Nothobranchius furzeri: one gene and its partners. The protein of the gene in region 1 interacts with the protein of each later gene in a biochemical or structural test. Links are inferred from orthologs where the notes say so. Each region holds a gene or a part of one and is shown in the gene's direction. Other genes may lie near its edges. The genes, in order: hnf4a, srebf2, ncoa6 and nr0b2a.

Region 1 (5,504 bases):
TTAAGATGTGAGCTGTGATAAAAGACCTTTAATGACATGGAAGATAAGATTTGCTGTGAGTGACTCAATTACAGCCCCACCTCCCCCACCCCTCACCCCCTGCTCACGCACTCAGTGCTTTGAAATAATCAGCACACTTCTTAAGCAAATATGACCACTGGAAAAAAAGAGCAGCACGGATCGAACGTGGAGTGATGTTGTAACTGATGACCTCTGTACACTTAAACAAAACAACATGTTGAGATGGAGCTGAGATTGATCCACTCTGATCACCAGTGGGTCAGTATAAAGGCTGCCTTTATCTGGGGTGTTTCCACTGAGTTAATCACATCAGGACTGTAAGGTCCAGGAGAAAAGGAAATCTTCAGTAGTTTTCACCCATTTTCCTTTTTGATTGAATTTCTTTAATCTGTCAGTCTTTAATCAGTGGGACGCATCATCCTCAGATCTTCAGCGGAAGTCTGCAGGCGTGTTGTGGTGTTTGCCTACTGGAAGAAGAAATAACTTTACGATGGCTTCGTATAATTTGACTGCTTGGTTAACAAGCTCCCCTACATGAGGTTTACTGCCTCTGAGGTCTGCCTGAACTTGGGATCGTTGACCTGTGGCTGTGCTCTGGCACTTTCTCTTCAAATACAAGACTACTGTTTGCTGTCGCTTGTCAGAGGAGGACTCAGATTCAGATTCAGGATGAGTTGCAAAAGTCACACGTGGAAACTGCCCAAGCGTTGAGAAACACCAGTATTCAATATTACATCAGACATGGACATGAAATAGGAAATAATGATGTTTAAACACTTTCATTCATTTCCTCCCTGACACATAAGTTATCTTATTTGGCTTTAAATGAGTGGTGTTAGTGAGCAGTGAAACTCACTCTACCATCCTGCTCACAATCGTGTCGTAATCGTCTGTTTTCACGATTGTCAGCTTTTAAAAGGAGTGAAAAACTAGCCATCAAACTGTGCGGTTTGATCAAGGTTAGTGTGCTGTGACCTTTGGCAGCAGTGATTTATACAATACTTAAAAACACAAAATGATGAGAACAGGTGAGAAAGCCCCGCCCCATTTGGAGCTATATGGCTCAGGTAGACTTCACAACACAAATAGCCACATTTTTAACTAACTACGTCATTTTTGGTAATATTAATCATTGACTTAAACCAATACTAAAGTTAAAGTAATCCATATTATCTGCTTTATTTCTCACTATGTCAGATATCTCCCATGTCCACTCATACTTCTACTGGTTTTATAATTCAGCCTTTCATTAAGACTTTTGAGGATACATTGCAACAGCATTAAGAGACTGTGTGAGCGCACCACCAGTGTTTGATGACCTGAGCACAGGTGAATATTCACCTTGTAATTATCAGCTTTGGATTTGAGATAAGCACATTATTGAAGCTGTTAGGCTACTCCTTAGATTTGTCCTGAATGGTAAAACCTCAGAAGGTCAGCTGCTTGTGGGTCAGTCTGTATGTTATGACATCACCTTGCTTTAGCAAGAGTCAGTTCCCCGGCTAATGCGGCTCAATTCCGCTGATTCCAGATCGGAAACATTTGAATCCATGTGCTCTCAGATTGTTAAACCCACTGAGATTTTTTATGCTGATTTGCAGTGGCAGCATGGACGTAATTTTGGGGGGGGACAGGGGGGACATATCCCCCCCACTTTTTCCAAAGTCAAGTTTTGACCCCTGCACTTTTTACCGTCCAAAAACAATATTACGCTATATTAAATTGACACTGGTTGAGCTCTAGGACCAAGCAGAAAACAACCGTTGGTGTTGAAGCCGGTTTCCCATGAGAGTATATTGTAAAGATACACCCCCCCCCCATGTCCCCCCCCCCCCCATTTCTAAAGTGAAAATTACATCCATGAGTGGCAGCCATCTTGGAAGACTCCAGAGATTAATCAGTTGTTTATTTTCATCCTGTAGTTATATTCTGAGAGCTTCGTTTGAATCTGTTCAGCAGTTTAGGTGAGAAGCAGACAGACAAAAGCATTATGGCTGCATTTAACACACGTGTTGGTGGTAAGTTAGAAGTCCCCGTTGGACCACAAAATGTCATTTTTCTTAAATAAAAAAATAATTTACTGTGATTTTTCATTTTAAAGCAGAATAAAATCTGAAACAGGTTAATCTGTCCCATCCTGTTTACTTCGGCGACCTCCCTCTACTCCTGGTCTCAGCCTAGAAATGAAGTTAAAGTTTCAAAGAGCTGCGGCTGAGACTGACCCAACTTAATGCCCATGGAGGAAATGTTTATCCTCTATTTGACAGAGGAGTGTGCAGAGGTGGCTGAAGTCCCACCGTCTCCTAAAAAAAAGAAACTCTCAGTGATTCACCACTAAATCAGTTAGTTAACCATCAACCAGGGACGAGACACTCCACCTCTCGGATGGTTAGCTGCGCGAGGGCCGGAGGAGAGCTGATGTCAGTCACTGACTCCGCTGCTGTCTTCTCATCACACTCAGTCGGGCCTGAGACCTGTCCTGCTACGAGGTGGAGCCAGGCCCGGGAAGAGTTAGGAAGAGGGGGGTAACAGAGGTGTGTGGGGGTGTGAGAAAAGAAAGAAAGAAGGAGGAGGAGGGGGGCATCAGCTTCTTGGACAAGTCTATCTGCCCCTCTGTCAGGTAGTTGAGAATTTGTTTGCCCAAACCAGTGATAGACATGGACATGGCAGACTACAGCGAGGCTCTGGACCCAGCCTACACCACGCTGGAGTTCGAAAACATGCAAGTGCTCCCACTGGGCGCAGGTGAGTCCCAGATATGCAACTCTGACAATGAACTTTGAAACTTTTACTGATTTAAGACTGTTGAGGAGAGGTCGGGGGGAGCTCTGGCACAAATTGATAAAAGGGGTCAACTGTCCATCTGGGCCTCACTCTCAGGGCTGACCCTCCGCAGTGGTCCTCTTTTATCAGCTCACTGAGGGATTCAAGTTTATGAGATTGCTGCATCGCTCCTGGGTCAGCTGCTCCAAGCGGTTCTGACCTGCTTCAGCTTGCAGACTGATGTGGTGTCAGCGGACTGACTTTAAAGCCGGTGTATTATGATCTCCCTTCTCTCGTTACAAACCGTCTGTTCCCACAGAGCTTGAACTGAAGAGAAAGGATGCAGCGTTTTGCTGCGTTCTTACTGTGACACAGGCATATTTATACAGGCAGTCTCCCATGACGCACGGCTGGGTCCCGATTCTAAAATTCCCGATGGGAAAGAGAGGGAAGAGCTATGAAAGGCATGACATTTCTAACAGACACAGATCCTCTCCTTGGGTCAGTCCAATCTATCCTACACATTTCTACAGTGTGTCATGACACATGCTCTGATTGATTGAGCTCATGACTGTTTCCACTGATTACCTATTGAGAGGTAATCAAACCTCAACCATCTATTGACTCTAACTATCTGAGGCACTCATGACGATCGCTTTGATCCTTTGCGGTGAAGCTCGTTTGCGTTTTTCTGCTCGTTCACACCTTCCAGAGTCAAACTCAAACTCAAGCTTCAAATGGAACAATCCAACCATCTGATTGGATTTCTGTGCTTCTCTGCTGTGTGTTAGACAACTCGCCGGCTGAAAGCACCAACATGAACGCCACCGGCCACCTGGCAGCGGGCAGCTTGTGTGCCATATGTGGAGACAGGGCTACAGGCAAACACTACGGGGCCTCCAGCTGCGACGGCTGCAAGGGCTTCTTCAGGCGAAGTGTTCGCAAGAACCACATGTACTCGTGCAGGTGAGGACACGTGTCGTGCTGGAAAATGTGAATAAAAATCCACTCGAGTTACCTTCTTCCTTAAATTAATTATTGTGCAATTTGCTTTAAAATTATAGCAAATATAGTAACGCCAAATATCAGAACAAATGTGCATTAACAGAACTCCTTTTAGAGACATCCTAACACGTTTTCCATCCATTCTCAGGTTCAGCAGACAGTGTATTGTGGACAAAGACAAGAGGAATCAATGCAGATACTGTAGACTGAAGAAATGCTTCAGAGCCGGCATGAAGAAAGAAGGTATGAAACATTCATCCGTTTGAAATAAACCAAAAACAAACAAACCACGTAAAACAATTCTCTGCGTGTTAAGGAAATCACTCCACAGATGGAGCTGTCTCCATCCAATTGATCCAACTGGTCTGCTGGTGTCGCAATCCAGAGGAGAGCACCACTTTGTTAATGTTCACTCGGCAGAGCGCTCAAGTCTCTGGCCAGCTTATGCTGAGCAAACATTTCAGAGCAATAATGGTCGTATACTGATAAACACGACGACCTGAGAAGACTTAATCTTTTTTTGTCTCGGGATCTCACTTTGGGTGTGGGGAAAAAAAACCCACCTGGAACAACTTTTGGTTTTGTTAGGCATAAACTCTGTCAGCTAAGCTGATGATGGAGGCGGTAAATGTGTAAAAGGGGCGACGGTGGCAGAGGAGTTAAGTGCCCGCCCAGTAACCGAAGAGCTGCAGGCTCAAGCCCCGCTCCGTCTGACTCGGCGGTTGTGTCCTTGGGCGAGACGCTTCACCTCCGTTTCTGTAGCTGTGTCTGTGATGTAGCTCCTCACCACCATCGTGTGAATGTGTGTGTGTGTGTGAAACGGTGAATGACTGGTGTGTTGTAAAGCATCTTGGAGGTTGGATTCTAGAAGGCGCTATAGAAACACAAACCGTTTATCATTTTCCCGTGTCTTTGTGTTTTCAGCTGTACAAAATGAGCGAGACAGAATCAGCACCAGGAGGTCCAGCTACGAAGACAGCAGTTTACCGTCCATCAACGCGCTCATTCAGGCCGATGTCCTGTCGAGACAGGTGAAGCCCAGGACAGACGTGACACCGGACGGCTGAAACGTGCTGTCACTTACACGTGTTTCCTCGTGCAGATCACCTCCCCCGCTCCCATCCTGAACGGAGACATAAGGACCAAAAAGATCGCCGCCATCACAGACGTCTGTGAGTCTATGAAGCAGCAGCTGCTGGTCCTGGTAGAGTGGGCCAAGTACATCCCGGCCTTCTGCGACCTGCCCCTGGATGACCAGGTGAGACCCAGACACAGTGTACACAGAGCTGTTACCACTCTGGTCACTCATCAACTAGTCCGGCTATAGACACCCCCCCACCACCACCATTTGCTTTTCCTCCATAAAATAAAAGTTCAGCTGACTTAAAACAGAGGGTTGAGCCTGAACGGATCTCTGAAGGCGATGTAGATCTTCACACTCGAACCTTCAACCAGAATGGTTAATGTATTTAATCCTGAGTTAGAATATGATGAGCTGGTTTTCAAAGATTGAGTTGCTCCATGAAAAGTGCAGAATCATTAACACTGTGGTCACTGGGCCTTGGTAACTGATTTGCTGATGCAGTGTGAGAACCTGGGTCTCCTGCCAGAGCTTCTTCTGCTCGCCATCTTTGAAAAAAATAAAAAACTTCCATAAAATGTCAGTCTTGTTCTTTTACTTGTGTTCCAGGTAGCTTTGCTTCGAGCTCATGCAG
Region 2 (4,705 bases), on another chromosome or scaffold:
AAGTTCAAGGCTACGGGCCGGTGGCCCTGACCGATGGACGCCCGATCCGCGATCAGTCAGGAAATCTGAACTCTCGTTGGTCCAACGGTCGTGGCAGGTCACAGAAAGACCCGTCCTGACCGACCTGGGTGGGCTCCTCGTGTAGCTGAGATGTGATTGGTTAATTATTGATCGGTTGTGACCCAGTTCTTAAGGAAAGCTATCAGTAGTTGCACAACAGCGGCGTGGTTCAGGGCCGTGAAGATAACCCCCTCCTTTCTCAAGGTTTTCTGTGTGGCGGCTGCTTCGAGTTAACTCATCAGTAGAACGGTAGCGGCACCTGTGGGGGTCAAGGCGTCACGTCGAGGTCAGTTTGTGCTCTTATCTGTTAGCGAGGTTCAGACATCTTAATAAAAGCTGCACTCTGGTCTCTTTACTGCTTTCCATCAGTTTCAGGACCGCGGACACAAACGCCGGCCCAGTGAGGACCTCTCTTCGCTTAAACGTGATCCTCGTGAACGTTTCACATTTTTAAACATGTGACGGGTTTCTGGGTTTCTCCACAGAGATGCTGCAGTTCGTCAGCAACCAGGTGGGGGACTTCCCAGACATGTTTGAAGAACAGATGACCACGGCAAGCTCTGTGCAAGCTGTTGGCTCCGCCCCCCAGATGGCCATTCAGACACCCACCGCCACTGCCTACCTCGCTTCCCCCCAGACCCTGCCCCTCACCCCTCCCCTCACGCCTGCTCAGACGCCCTCCCTCGCCACCGCCGCCACCCCTACGGTGCAGCAGGTGACCCGCAGCCCTCCGCTGCTCCAGCCGCGGCCTCAGCCCATCCAACCCCATCAGACGTCCCAGCCCACCATCCAGGTATCGGCGTGTTTTATTCTGTCTGCGGTCGGGCTCCGTGTCAGCTAACCATCGGCTTTCTAAAGCAGATTCTGTTTGGTTTAAATGCAGGTGCACGCGCAGGGAGTTTCCTTGCAGACCCAGAACTTCCCGGTCCAGACTTTGGTTCAGACCCACAGCCAGACGCCCCTCCCCATCCAGACGCAGGCAGCCCAAACCGTGATGATCGCCTCCAACGGTGGACAGTCACGCTTCATCCAGAGCCCGGTCATCTGCCATCATAGTGCTGCTCCTAGTTTCCAAGGTGACCGCAGTGATGGAGAGGAGTAGATCTGCTGATGATTGTCAGCTTCTGCTGCAGAGCTCCGGCGCTTTAAACGTGATCAGATTTCTGTTTTTATTCCTCCAGTCATTCAGCCACAAGTGCAGAGCATCATGACATCGCCACAGCTGCAGCCAGTCACCATTCAGCATCAGCGCCTGCTGACCGCGACGGGTCAGACCATCCAGACCCTCTCCACAGCGCCCACCACAGTCCACGCTGTGCAGCAGCAGGTGCCTGTAAGGGTGACTAGCGCTGAGGTCGTCTGACCTGATTAAAGTTTCATTTCAGTAAAAACGAAAGGTTTATGCACCCCTTCAGGTTTTGGTCCAGCAGCCTCAGATCCTCAAGACGGACTCGCTGGTCCTCACGACGCTGAAACCCGACGGGACGCAGGTGTTGTCCACCGTGCAGAGCCCCGCGGGCATCGCCACCCTGACCACGCCCATCCAGAACGCCGCGCTACAAGTCCCGGTAGGCGGCGTGGGCGAACCCGCGACCAGCTCGTGACTGGTCTTGATGGGCCCTCACATCTGTCTTTCGTCCCCAGACTCTGATGGGCAGCAACATTCTGACCACCGTTCCCGTGGTGATGGGAGGAGACAAGCTGCCCATCAAACAGCTGCCTCCAGGCTCCTCCCCCTGCACCGCCGGGCCCAGGGCGAGCGTGGAGCCGAGCCAGGTGATGGCAGGAGGCATGGGGCCGGGAGTGGTGGTGAAGGAGGGTGAAAGGAGAACAACCCACAACATCATCGAGAAGAGATACAGGTCGTCCATCAACGACAAGATCATGGAGCTCAGAGACCTGGTCATGGGCAACGATGCGAAGGTGCAACCAGGAAAGGTGTTAGAGGCGTAACGGAGAAAAGCTGCATTTGTTTATCTCTACCTTCCCCACTCAGATGCACAAGTCCGGAGTGCTGAGGAAGGCCATCGACTACATAAAATACCTGCAGCAGGTCAACCACAAGCTGCGGCAGGAGAACCTGACCCTGAAGATGGCCAACCAGAAGAACGGTGAGTGTTTCTAAACACTCCAGCATCATTCATAGCGGCCTGACACTGAAACGAACGCGCCCCCGTCTCTCCCAGGGGCCGCGTCCTTACCCGAGGACGTGGAGCTCAAACCAGAAGTGGTGATGATGTCACCTCCCGCCTCCGACTCCGGCTCCGGTTCTCCTCACCAGTTCTCTCCGTACTGCGTTGACTCTGAGCCGGGAAGTCCTCTACTGGATCACGACCCGGTGAGTTGTTTCATCACCGGCAGGATTTACAGGTTTGTTTTGTCCAAACGTTCAGCGGAGATGACCTCCTGAAGGGCCTCAGTTTGGAGAAAGAGGTTACGTCCTAAATATTGCGGGAACTCTTCAAAGTGGCAGAAATCCTAATTTAAACCCGTCTTTGTGTTTCAGGTGAAGAGCGAGCCGGATTCCCCCTCCACGGTGGGGGTGATGGATCGCTCTCGGCTCCTTCTTTGCGCTCTGACGTTCTTCTGTCTGTCCCTGAACCCGCTGCCCTCGCTGCTGGGCTCGGAGGCCGCGGGGAACCCGGGTCTGTCTGCAGGCCACATCCCATCCAGGACTCTGGTCTGGTTCCCGACCCACTCCCAGGACTTCGGTGAGGCTTTAGGGTTTGTGCTTCCCTACAGAGGAGCCGAGATCTTACCTCGTGTTTTATCTCGCCAGCGTCGTGGCTGCGGTGCCTGTTGCCGTGGGTGATTGTCTGGGTGCTGAGTGGAGTGGGAGCTCTGTGGGGGTGCGTCAGGGTTCTGTACCTGTGGGAGCCGGTGACGCCGCTTCATTCGCCTAAATCCGTGTCCTTCTGGAGGCACCGCAAGCAAGCAGACCTGCATCTGAAGCGGGTGAGAACCGAAGCGGTGCGGGTGAACGCTGCGTGTGCTGGACTCCCTCTCTCTCCACACGCAGCGTTTTTACACCGAAGAGCTCCTCGCTCTCTCCTGCCTGTGATCTGATCCTTCTGATGTCTCTAGTTCTCCTTTTCCCCGAGCGGTTTTATTTTTTACTTTTCTTCCTCGTGTCCGAGTCGTGATCCCCCCCTCAGTTTTCTGCCGGTTCGGTCCTGGCTCCTTATTTCTCTCACCTCTCTCTCAAAGGGAGATTACGCGGCGGCGATGGCCAGTCTAGAGACCTGCCTGTCCGTGCTGACGAGAGCGCTCCCCTCCACCGGTCTGGACCTGGTTTGTTCTCTCTCCTGGAATTTTATTCGCTACTGCTTGCATCGCCCGACGCCTCTGGGCTGGCTGGTCCACCAGGTCGGAGGGAAGCACGAGGGGGAGGAGGCGAGGACCAGCGCCAGGGACGCAGCACTGGTTTACCACCAGCTCAGCCAGCTGCAGCTCACAGGTCAGAGGTCGTCTGCACAGTCAGCTCAGGGCTTCCCTCGTACTCACACCACCCTAAACGTGTTTCTGCAGGGAAGCTGCCTCAGCGCAGCAGCTGGTGGGCGCTGTCTCTGTCTCTGAACGCCGTCAACCTCAGTGAGAGCGCTCAGGGCAAGATGGCGCCGACTCAGCTGGCTCAGATGTACGTGACTGCAGCGACGGCCCTGCGCTCCGTCCTGGGCCACCACCTGTCCTGTCTACCTGTACGTGTCTGCTTCCCGCCTCCAGACCAAAGGCATCCTCGCATTTGCTTCTGCAGCTTTGACTCACTTCCTGTTTGTCTCCAGGGTTACCTTCTGGGCTGCGCAGAGGGCGTGGCCAACCAGACCGAGACCAAGCAGATCCCCGACTGCCTCCGCTGGCTCTTCACACCGCTGGGTAGGCAGTTCTTCCTGAGCTGTGATTGGTCGGTGAAGTCCGACAGCGGCGACGAAGTGTACACCTCTCAGAGAGACGCAGGTTTGTTTCTTCCTGTTTGGTTCGGTTTTTGTTTTGTGATTTGAATGAAGTCGACGCTTTGTGTTTGTCCCCAGCTGACCCCATCGCCCAGCTGCACCGATGTTTCTGCAGGAAGCTCCTGGAGAGAGCCGTTCACACGCTCATCCAGCCGCAGAGCGACTCTGATGGCGGCAAGAACAGCTGTGGGTGAGTCGCCATCCAGGTGCTCTGGTTCTTCACTCGCGTCCTCCTCCGTACAAATAACCGTCTCGCTCTTTTTCCAGGGAATTTTCCAACGCCCTGGAGTTCCTCGAGCTGTTGAATAGCTGCACAGAGGACTCTCCTTCCCCTCCTCCCCCCTTCCCGACTCCTCCCAGTCACACCACCGTCTCAGGTTTGAACACCACCCGTTTGTTGTTCAGTCCCAGGAAGACAGAGTTCCTGTTTCTCAGAACTCTCGTGTTTTAGTCTTCCGGCACAAATCTGTTTGTGTTTTATTTATTTTTTTCATGCGATTCAGTTTGTTTTCTCGCAGAAAAACTCAGTGTGTGACGTTCGGGGGCGGGGCTAAGGACTAAACGATGCCTAAAGTTTTCCTGGTGTTCTTGTGTCCAGTGCGAGACCCGGTGAGTCGCTGGTGGGCTCTGGTTCTGAAGGCTGCGGTTCTCTGGCTGCAGGGGGACGACGCCACAGTCAGGACGCTGTTGGCAGA
Region 3 (5,205 bases), about 24 Mb from region 1:
CCTAAAATCAATATCACGATATGTCGAGGATTTCACCTCAGTAACTATAAATGGATGATAACTACAGGTTTGCGCAGAAACAAAAGTTGTCCGCTAGATGGGGCTGTCACATTTTTACGCGAGTCAAGGTGGTACAGCTTCTTAAAGGGACAGGAACGTTGCCAACCTACACACATCTTTTTATTTTTTATTATCAAATTTATTGACATGGGAAAAATAGTAAACTAACAGTAAACTAAAGCGCCGATGTACAGCATTGCTACCATGGCACACAGCTGTACTCCACTCTGTCTGCTGTGACTAGTAATCTGACTGTTCAAATTCAAATTCAAAAATACTTCATTAATCCCAGAGGGAAATTTATTGCTGTAGTAGCTCAGAATAATAATAATAATAATAATAATAATCAAGTCATCAAAGAGTTATTGTATATTACAATGGCTGTTGGCAGGAAGGATCTCCAGTAGCGGTCAGTGTTGCAGCGACAAGACAGATAATCTACTGTAGGGGAGAAAATGGGATGTTCTTGAATCCGAACAGATAAATCAAGCAATGCTTCTTGATCGCAGATTGACAACTTCCTTTTTCTTCATTTGGTTTCCCTACAGCTGAGTTTTTGGAAGATGACGTGAAGCTGCTGAAGGCCAAAGGACACACAGTTGAAAGGATGGGTGTCCTTTCGTTGGTGGAAGGCACACGGAGAACCAATGACCTCATCATTGGAGTGAAGGACCCACGTAGTGCTGATGCTTCTGCCCTCACCATTTCCAACACACCTTAGTGCATCCATCACTTTTTCCAGTATTCACTCACATTACAGCAGGGATCAAACTCGTAGGATACTAGTGAAAGAAGAAAAGGTGGAATAAAAATGATCAAACTACTACAGTCATCAAAATCTCACAGCAAACTGCCATTTAAATAAAAATCCACTTAGCTTTCTGTGAGTTCACCTCACATCTGTTTGCTCGAGTCACACGGTACAAGGTTTTCAAAGTAAAAGCCCACCCAGCAGTGGCACTAAAGTTAGCTGCAAATGAAATAATGTAATTGCTGAACTTATGAGAGGAATGTTTGAGAGTATTTTCTCTATCACTGTTTAGTCAGAATTTCAGAGGTAAATTATTGAGCAATAAATGAAATCATAAACCAATAATGTAAAATGTACAAAAAAATGCATAGTGTGCAGTACATGCATTAACAGTCAACTTATTTTTTAATGTTTTTTGTCAATTATTCCAAATATTACCAAGGATGTTGCTAGATGACAAGTGAAGAGACTTGCTTTGTCTTTGTCTAACTGTCCTTCCCTTGCTTGTAGTGTGGCATGTAACTGTGATTATGTTGTCTTGCACAGCTGCTGGAGTTTTACCTTCTTTTTGAGAACATGTTAGGTGATAACATACCCAGACAGAGATGTTTAACAGGAATGTGATTTCCACATCTTGGTTTACTACTTTTACTGAGATGGTTTTATTGATTTTAAAGTATTTCTTATATTGTTACTGTTCTTTTTGCATTCTTAATATAGTTTTAGTGGTTTATTTGCTGCTTTTCTTGAAAATCATTAGAATTATTTGAGAGAGGGTCACCCTTGTTCTCTGAATGGGAATTAAAACAGTTTAATGTAAAATCAATTTTTACATCACTGTTTGACTGTAGATGTTTTTATTCCTAAAATCTATATTCAGCCTGGAACTCTTCGGGATGGGTGTCATGTGTTTTTGGTGCAATTAAGCGGAATAATAGAAGTAAAATCGAACACGTTTTTCTCTCACACTAAATTGATCAAATAGGTTTCTAATCTTAGAGTCTTGTCTTGTGTACTGTTAATGCACACATTTGCACACCTGATGTTTGATTATTTTGTGTTTATAATTGAAGGAAAAATCGGTTTTGTTCAAATTTGTGAAATAAAAATGTTTGCACATACCCACATAAGCAGTGTTCCGCAATTTGTCATCATACTTGCATTTAATACAATTTGAAAAATAGATAAAACAGCTCAGTTTATTCAGGACTATTTAGGAAATAGTCATGAACTTGTTAACCTAAGGAGTGCGTTTACCTTTTGAGCTTTTATTTTGAAAAAGAAAACCGGAAACAACCTTTGTTAGTTAGCTTGCTTATGACATTCATCCTATTTTGTTAGCCTGTCTAGCAAACAGATGTCGACTAGTTGAACGTATTCGTATATGGATATGTTTGGTAAGGTCTTTGTATATTCCTTTCTCCTTGTTTTTATTAACGAAAACTGTTGAAAGGCAAATTAAACCAGCTACGGTTCGCTGCTTGGATTCATTCGCGTCTGGAGACTGACATCTAGCTACATAGCTAACTGATGCTAACAGGATTTTTCGGAAAACCAATAGGAACCACTTTCAATTTCACTCTTTCTGTGTGCTGCTAAAACGTATACATTTGAAATGTAAGTGTTAATTGCACCACGATGAAAATGCACAATTTGGTAAGAAACAGAGTTTACTTGTGGATTTTGTTTGAATGTTAGCTTACTGCGTTAAGGCCCACACTCCTGCAGCGCCGGTGACTGAAACCAGGATGATCATCATTATAAAAATATATTATATTATTACTAACAAGTTTAACTCCCATATCAAGAAATCTCACAACTCTGAAAGTAATGTGACTACCAATCAGAGCACCTCTGCTTAATAAGCTAATCACCGGTCAGTGATGTCACCTCCAGGTGTCTGCTTCATTGAGTTACAAACTCATTTATTTGCTTCTTTTTCTGGTTTGCAAATAGAAATTATGACTTTTTTTGCTTGTCTTTGTTTTACTCGAATCGAATGTTATATAGAATACTCTTCAGCCTCTAGCAACTTACTATAACTGTTGTTTCTTGGCTGTGTTCAGGGTTTCTAAAACAATTAAAGAGCAAGTCACCCCCTACAAGAAACTTATTTCACTCCCTCTTCATGTTTGAAAAATGCAACAAATGCTGTTGCCTAGCAGACCGAGAGGGCGGAGCCACTAACAAATACACACACACACACACACAGGCTCACAACGGCACTGTGACATCATAATGTACCAGTTTACATCATAGCATACCTCTTAGCCAATAGCGGTGGCAGATTTAAATTCAAATGCAGTGCAGAGTTTTTACCTGACAACGGCGCAACATTGACAGTTTTAGGCAGAATATTTCAATTTTAACTAAGATGCACTGAAGTACCAAATTATTGACTACACGTGTCTGCAGCACATTTAGACACACATTTATATAGTTTATCAGCAAAAAAAAAAGTAGATTTGGGGGTGACTTGCTCTTTAAGAACTGTCGAAGGTCTCAATATATTAATGGGAAATTAAAAATATTCTAAGATGAGCTGTTATGTTCCCAAAACTTTCCATTTTAAATGCATTCTACGAAATTGTAGAAAATTGGGAACCCATAGCGTAAGCAGCTTTTTACTTTAAGCTGAAACAGTTTATAGAAAAAGCATAATTTATCAAATAATTATTAAATTAATCAATACCATAGACTTTTCTGGGCAGTACATACATTTGAGATAGGCAAAGTATGGAATAATAGTATTTGATAAGAAAATGCTGTAATCTAAAGTTTGAATAATCTGTAATTACAGCATAAAACGGTTTAGACACCACTCCTAACAAGGAAGGGAGGATAGCTGCTGAACATTCCTCATCCCAGAAGACTGCGTACATGGAGCCTGATGGTGAATCGGACAGAGACTCTGGTGTTGGAGAAGATTCTGGAGAAGACGCAGATAGCTCTGAGAAATGCAACGTAACAGAAGAAGTTGGACCCATGGAGCAAGAAGACACTAGAGAAAATGGAGAGGAGGACTTCACAGTCTTTGTTGCCTTTCAAGGAAACATGGATGATGAGAACTTCACTCAAAAACTAGAAACTATCCTCAATGGGATACCTGATGTTCTTAATTTGGGTTTGTGTTTATTTTTATTCAATTTGTTTTGTTACTTTGTTTTATTTGAGCTCATTTACGTGTATTTGATTCAAAAATATATATCTTGCACTGACCTGTTAAGCATTTTCCAACCAACACTAACTAAATACACTTTATTTTAGGCCCAGAACGGCTGCAGCCTAAACATGTTGAGCCGTGGAACAGTGTCCGTGTCACATTCAACATTCCCCGGGATGCTGCTGAGCGACTCCGGTTGTTGGCCCAAAACAACCAGCAGCAGCTCAGAGACCTGGGTATTCTCTCTGTGCAAATAGAAGGTAATAGCTCAGTCCAAAAAGAATTCATGCAGATCTCCTCCTTTTGTCTTCATAAAAATTCATTTATGCAATGATTTAATCTTGGTGTTCAGGAGAGGGAGCAATTAATGTGGCTGTGGGACCAAACAGAGGACAAGAAGTCAGAGTGAATGGACCAATTGGTGCACCTGGTCAGATGAGAATGGATGGTGGCTTTCCAGGTCAGCCTGGCCCAGGTAAGTTTTTCCAAAAGTTTAACAAAAAAATTAACAGTACTCTAGTCTACTAGTAGAGATTTTGGCTTTACTGTCCAAACGTGATCACACATGAATGCTGTCGAAAGCAGCAGCAGCTTCAGCGCAGAGCAAGTTGATGAGAAGACGAAGACATAATTTATACTGGCCTGGTTTAGGTTTAAGGAGTCTGATGCTGAGCAGAAAAACATCCTCTGTAAAATATTCTGGGCGACAGTGAAGTCATATCAACGCTTGTTAACGCTAACGCTAATTCCCTTATATGCCATTAGCTTCTAACATATTATTAACACGCAGGTTTCCAAACTTTCATCACAGTAAGCTTGTATTTTATTTTAAAATTTCTTCATCTTTATTTGGTTCATGTGAATTTTTGTGTTGCATTGTTTCTAACAATGTTTAACATAAATATTACTTGATATTTTGTATTTTTTTAATTAGTTTTGAACATTAAATGTTATTTAAATGGTATTCTATATTTCTCCTTTTGACATAAACAGAAGAAAAAAAATATTGCGATATAATTTTAGGCTATATATACACAGTTCTCAGCATAAATGAGTACACCCCCTTTAAAAAGTACTAATTGAATCAGTAGCTGAATGATAAAAAAAAAAAAACAATTTCCAGAATTTTTACAAGGCTCGGTTTTAGTGAACACTAGTTTAACGCCATAACATGACATTAAGGTTAATAATATAACTTGGATCACTAAATCTTTTGTTTTACTAAAATTGG
Region 4 (4,689 bases), on another chromosome or scaffold:
CGGGCCGGGTAGCGTAGGTTGTTTACATATCTGGGTGGCCTGGTATTTTTCCGGGCCAACCAAGGCTCATTCTCAGCCCTCTTCTCAAGGGGGTCTGCTTCAGGCCGACCAGGGCCAACACACCCACTGCTGACAGCAAATTCACACCTTCCATTAGAGCAAGCCTCTGATTGGTGGGTAGAATCAGCCCACATGGGCTTAAGGCAAGGATGTGTGGAATCAACCGGGCCAGGCTGGGGCCGACTGGGGCTACCCGGCCCGGGCCGACCCGGTACAGATGGGAATGGCCCATTAGATTCACCCAGATAAAGACAATAAAGTTTATTTCTCACTAAATAGAATATTTAATAAGAAATCACAATCTAGCCATAGGAACACCACTTGGTGTGTGTGTGTGTGTGTGTGTGTGTGTGTGTGTGTGTGTGTGTGTGTGTGTGTGTGTGTGTGTGTGTGTGTGTGTGTGTGTGTGTGTGTGTGTGTGTGTGTGTGTGTGTGTGTGTGTTTGCGCTGACTTCCCAATCCCCACTGTCGCTACACACTTGCTTTTGAGGATTGCTGCAAAGACCTAGTCAGTGACTCGATGCCGTCTGCTGAGTTAGGAGCTATATAAATAATCTGAACTGAAGAAAAACATGTACATTATTGAGATTAGTTGTGAAATGGCCAACAACAAGAGAATGTAACATTTGTAAAAACAATAACACTATTTCTTTTTTGATCAAGATGCTTTTTTAGATAAGTTTGTCTCACAAACGGAACATCTGCAGTTAGAATGCCTCATTTCATTTCAAATGTGTTGACAGCAAAATAAACATGTTCAAAAACTTCTACGTAAATGCAGCTGTTACTCAGGAACTGGGCAAAAGCAAATGCAAACAAAGAAACTATAGAAGCAGACATTTGTAAAACGGGTTAATTACGTTCCAGATCACTAACAAACACTTCTGTGCATGTTTCAAATGAAAAACTGGTCTTACACACGACCCTTACGATCACACAAACAACCTTTTAATCTTCTGTGTAATAATCGTGTTAAAGATCGAAAAGGCAGAATTAAAACGCAAATCTTGATGGATATCCATTAACGGTGTGGAACACTGAAAAAAAGTTTTAATTATTATTTCTGATTATAATCGGTCTCCGAGTGTTTCGTTCATGCTGAACATGAAAATAGTCTCCTACACCTAGGATTTGAAAAGCCTGACAGATCTACGCCACGCTGTCACCTAACATTCATGGACTCACCCTCCTTGACTCGCGGCTGTTGTTGGCTTAGCATCCAGGAAACAGCAGAGAGGTAGTAGAAGCTAACGTTAGCACAAGCAACTCCACCACACAGCAGACCTCCTCCAGGCTCGTGTTATTTGTGGAGAGAAAACATCAACGTTGAAGAGCAAACAGAGTCAGTGGTAGAGTCGCGTTGCTGCTAGCCGGTCCGATTTTAAAGGTTAGTAGGTGAAGTGGTTATAAGGTTGAAGTATGCTTTGGGACTTCTGAGGATTAGATGCATTAAGTGTACATTTTACCGTTTGTTCCCACCCCAGAGTTACAGGTTAAGCTATCAATGCAACTTGCCCCTAGGGGGCTCGCTACAGCGATGAACTTGTTTTATATTCTTCCCGAAGTCATTTGGAATCATTTCAATAGTTCCTTTAGTCATCACACACTGTTGAAATTCATCTCCGCATTTGACCCATCCCCGTGGGGAGCGGAGAACTGCAGCTGTGGTCGGGAATTATTTGGTGGTTTTATGCTACTACTACTGTTTCCCTAAAATTGAAGCATAATTCCCACTGTTCCCGGTTTGGAAACGTTTGTCTAAACTAAACTACGTTTGATGAGAACACGATGTGAAGGTCAACGGCCTCCTTTGTGGTCTGGCCTCCTTCCAGCACTACAGGTGTGAGCTGGCGGGTGCAGTGACACAGCGTGGGGCTGATTACCTCTGCAGTCCTTGGTAGCTTGGTACTGCCTGGGTTGATGACACTGCCTTCCAGATAAGGCCAATCCCACTTGATATCCATGTGTGACTCCAGCAGCTACTTCTCAATGAGAAAAGCTTATCTGTTTCCCAGGGTTATTCCAGCAGTCACCTGGCAGAGCGCGCGGTTGTTTTTCACATTGGGTGTATTGACATTTCAAGGTCCACTAAGAAGGGAGGGTTGGCCTTATAAATAAGACTGGAGGAAGCAGCAGCTCTCAGAAGCTCAGACGGAGCCCGTCGTGGCAGAGAAGAGGTTCAGAGGAGCAGCCGCATCGAAGAAAGATGGATAACAGATGCCAGTGTTCCGCTAACAAACAAAGGCAGTTAAACCCGATCCTCTACAACATCTTGAGCCAGATGGACAGCGGTAGACCGACTCCAGACACCTCCAGCCACAGTTCCGTTCCTCACAGATGCAACTGTGAGACGCGGCGGAGAGTGTGCTTAAAAAGGCCGTCTGTGGTCTGCAAAGAGGCGTCTGCAGTTCTGGTGAAAACCGTCCACTTCATGAAGAACTTGCCAGCGTTTAACCAGCTGCCACCCAGTGACCAGTTTGCACTACTTAAAAGCAGCTGGGTGCCACTTTTTATTTTGGGTTTGGCCCAGGAGCGCGTGGACTTTGAGGTGGCGGACGTCCCTGCTGACAGCATGCTGAAGAAGATTCTCCTGAACTGCCAGGAGAGCCCTGAAACAGAGCGGGAGCAGCCAACCATGGCAGGCATCAGCAAACTCAAGTCGTGTCTCAAAAAGTTCTGGAGTCTAGATGTGAGCCCAAAGGAGTACGCTTACCTGAAAGGGACCACGATATTTAATCCAGGTATGTACTGCGTTAACTGGATTCAGACAACAGATAATCCAAGGACTCGTTTGTCAAGCAACAATTCTGGTTTTCTCTCAAACAGATGTACCAGATTTGAAGGCAGGCCTGTTTGTCGAAGGCTTGCAGCAGGAAGCTCAGCACGCCCTGAGCGAGGTGGTCCAGCTGCTTCACCCTGGCAACCAGGAGCGCTTTGCTCGGATCCTCCTCACAGCCTCCATGCTGCAGGGCATCACACCCAGCCTCATCACCGAACTCTTCTTCAGGCCTGTGATAGGCCAGGCCAACCTGCTGGAGCTGCTGGTCGACATGCTCTTCAGCCGATGGGAGGGGTGGTCCTCGGGATGGTGACCTCCATGCAGCGTGCTTTAGAGGCTTCTATAAAGCACACTAGGGTTTTGACTTTCGTCCGCTGAAGCTGAGGTCACTTCACCGTCTGAGCAGAACTCCTGAGAGGTTTTTGAGTTTTGATCCTACGTGTCGATGAGCTCCTCTGCTGTAAATAAGCATCTGCATTTCCAGAAAACTTGAATAAATATATTTTTGTACACGACTGAGTCCGATCCGTGGATCCATCCTCCATTACATGTTGTGCTCAGCAAACTTTTCAGAAAGTCAAGCGTAAGCCTGCGCGTTAAAGGAGAGAATCTAAAATTAGAATGAAAACACACATTTGTGGCTTCAAATGGAACAGAAAACCTTTTTTCTGCCTGTACTGCTGTGCTGTGTCTCCCTCTAGAGGACGTTTGGTGGAAGTTTTTTTTTCTCAGAAGACTAGCGGCAAATATTTTCTTACTTTTGCATTTCTCACAAAACCACAGCATCAAGATCCCCCCACCCCATCGTCACAAAAAGGGACAGAATGGCACGAACGCTAAACTCAGCGCAGTATAAAAAAACACTGTCTGCATGTAGTTATTTGAGAAATCAGGCTTAGTCATCCTACTTTGTGGTATGTTAGTTGTGAAACCCTGTCTTTACATGACAACTCGTACAGGTAAAACAGGAATGTGCTGGTGGGGGCGGTGAGCCGGTGGAAATGGGGTTACGCGTGGAAACGGCAACACAAACAAGACAAAAGGAGAGTCCAAAATGCTTCAAATCGAGTGCAAAGTGGAAAAAAACTACACATTTTTGTTGCTGCAGCAATTTTTCTTTTCAGCAGATATGAAATCATCCAAATGTTGGAGTTGTTAGGATAAGGTGGCTGTAATCTGCTAGATTTACTGAAAACTTAGAACCCGGTGCATTCAAACTGAACATCTTCATTTGAGCAGAAACAAGAAAACGTGAAACAACGATCAACGCGTCCTAAAACAGATTAGAACCAGAAACCAAACTCTTCATTCTCTTCAGGCTCCTGCAGCAAGTCTAGTTATCGGAATTGCTTCTTTCCTTTTTCCATGAATGACAAAGACAAACCTCGGGATTTTATTTCCTTTCTGTCAGAACCAGCCAAACGAGTTCCTCCTTTTGCTGAGGGCGGAAAAAGCCTCTACCTGCTAGAACGCTGACCTCGGAGACGAGCCTGCAACAATCCCAGATTCGGAAAAAAAAGGAAAAGTGAGCTGGAGAGGAAGAAACTCGAATGAAAAATGATTTCTTGGTGTATGAAAGCTACACTAATATGCCAGTATTCCACTTGTGGCTGCAAGAGAACATAAACACACTTAAATATGCAATAAAAAACACAAGAATTTAGTTTATTTTTTTAAAATACAACTTTTTGGGTAATATAAAAAAAGACACCAAACGGCACAATGCAACATCATTTCAAGAACAGTTATGGCTTCAGCACAGTTCTGCTGCTTAAACATCAGCAGCAGCAGCAAAAAAAAAAAAAAAAAAAAAAAAAAACATCTCAGGTTAAAGAAACGGTAACAGATCA

The links.
Region 2: the proteins of hnf4a (region 1) and srebf2 form a complex in vitro, tested with the Homo sapiens proteins (2 studies listed by BioGRID and IntAct). The link is inferred for Nothobranchius furzeri from reciprocal best matches to the Homo sapiens genes HNF4A and SREBF2.
Region 3: the proteins of hnf4a (region 1) and ncoa6 form a complex in vitro, tested with the Homo sapiens proteins (2 studies listed by BioGRID). The link is inferred for Nothobranchius furzeri from reciprocal best matches to the Homo sapiens genes HNF4A and NCOA6.
Region 4: the proteins of hnf4a (region 1) and nr0b2a form a complex in vitro, tested with the Homo sapiens proteins (4 studies listed by BioGRID). The link is inferred for Nothobranchius furzeri from reciprocal best matches to the Homo sapiens genes HNF4A and NR0B2.

Annotation. Positions count from the first base shown.
Region 1 is NC_091755.1:36,591,832-36,597,335, reverse strand, and holds the start of hnf4a (hepatocyte nuclear factor 4-alpha), read left to right. Parts: upstream 1-2,400; 5' UTR 2,401-2,678; coding exon 2,679-2,766; intron 2,767-3,575; coding exon 3,576-3,750; intron 3,751-3,937; coding exon 3,938-4,032; intron 4,033-4,713; coding exon 4,714-4,820; intron 4,821-4,891; coding exon 4,892-5,047; intron 5,048-5,479; coding exon 5,480-5,504. UniProt on the Homo sapiens protein: Transcriptional regulator which controls the expression of hepatic genes during the transition of endodermal cells to hepatic progenitor cells, facilitating the recruitment of RNA pol II to the promoters of target genes. Activates the transcription of CYP2C38.
Region 2 is NC_091752.1:67,053,491-67,058,195, reverse strand, and holds part of srebf2 (sterol regulatory element-binding protein 2), read left to right. Parts: intron 1-545; coding exon 546-853; intron 854-943; coding exon 944-1,136; intron 1,137-1,241; coding exon 1,242-1,393; intron 1,394-1,475; coding exon 1,476-1,628; intron 1,629-1,704; coding exon 1,705-1,983; intron 1,984-2,056; coding exon 2,057-2,171; intron 2,172-2,246; coding exon 2,247-2,398; intron 2,399-2,566; coding exon 2,567-2,771; intron 2,772-2,839; coding exon 2,840-3,015; intron 3,016-3,267; coding exon 3,268-3,517; intron 3,518-3,588; coding exon 3,589-3,758; intron 3,759-3,842; coding exon 3,843-4,014; intron 4,015-4,088; coding exon 4,089-4,200; intron 4,201-4,277; coding exon 4,278-4,387; intron 4,388-4,608; coding exon 4,609-4,705.
Region 3 is NC_091755.1:60,746,985-60,752,189, forward strand, and holds the start of ncoa6 (nuclear receptor coactivator 6), read left to right. Parts: upstream 1-2,079; 5' UTR 2,080-2,208; intron 2,209-3,611; 5' UTR 3,612-3,691; coding exon 3,692-3,935; intron 3,936-4,078; coding exon 4,079-4,234; intron 4,235-4,326; coding exon 4,327-4,449; intron 4,450-5,205. Other genes in the region: glutathione hydrolase 7, read left to right, coding at 609-781. UniProt on the Homo sapiens protein: Nuclear receptor coactivator that directly binds nuclear receptors and stimulates the transcriptional activities in a hormone-dependent fashion. Coactivates expression in an agonist- and AF2-dependent manner.
Region 4 is NC_091745.1:40,693,883-40,698,571, forward strand, and holds nr0b2a (nuclear receptor subfamily 0 group B member 2a), read left to right. Parts: upstream 1-1,827; 5' UTR 1,828-2,266; coding exon 2,267-2,801; intron 2,802-2,886; coding exon 2,887-3,152; 3' UTR 3,153-3,354; downstream 3,355-4,689. UniProt on the Homo sapiens protein: Transcriptional regulator that acts as a negative regulator of receptor-dependent signaling pathways. Specifically inhibits transactivation of the nuclear receptor with which it interacts.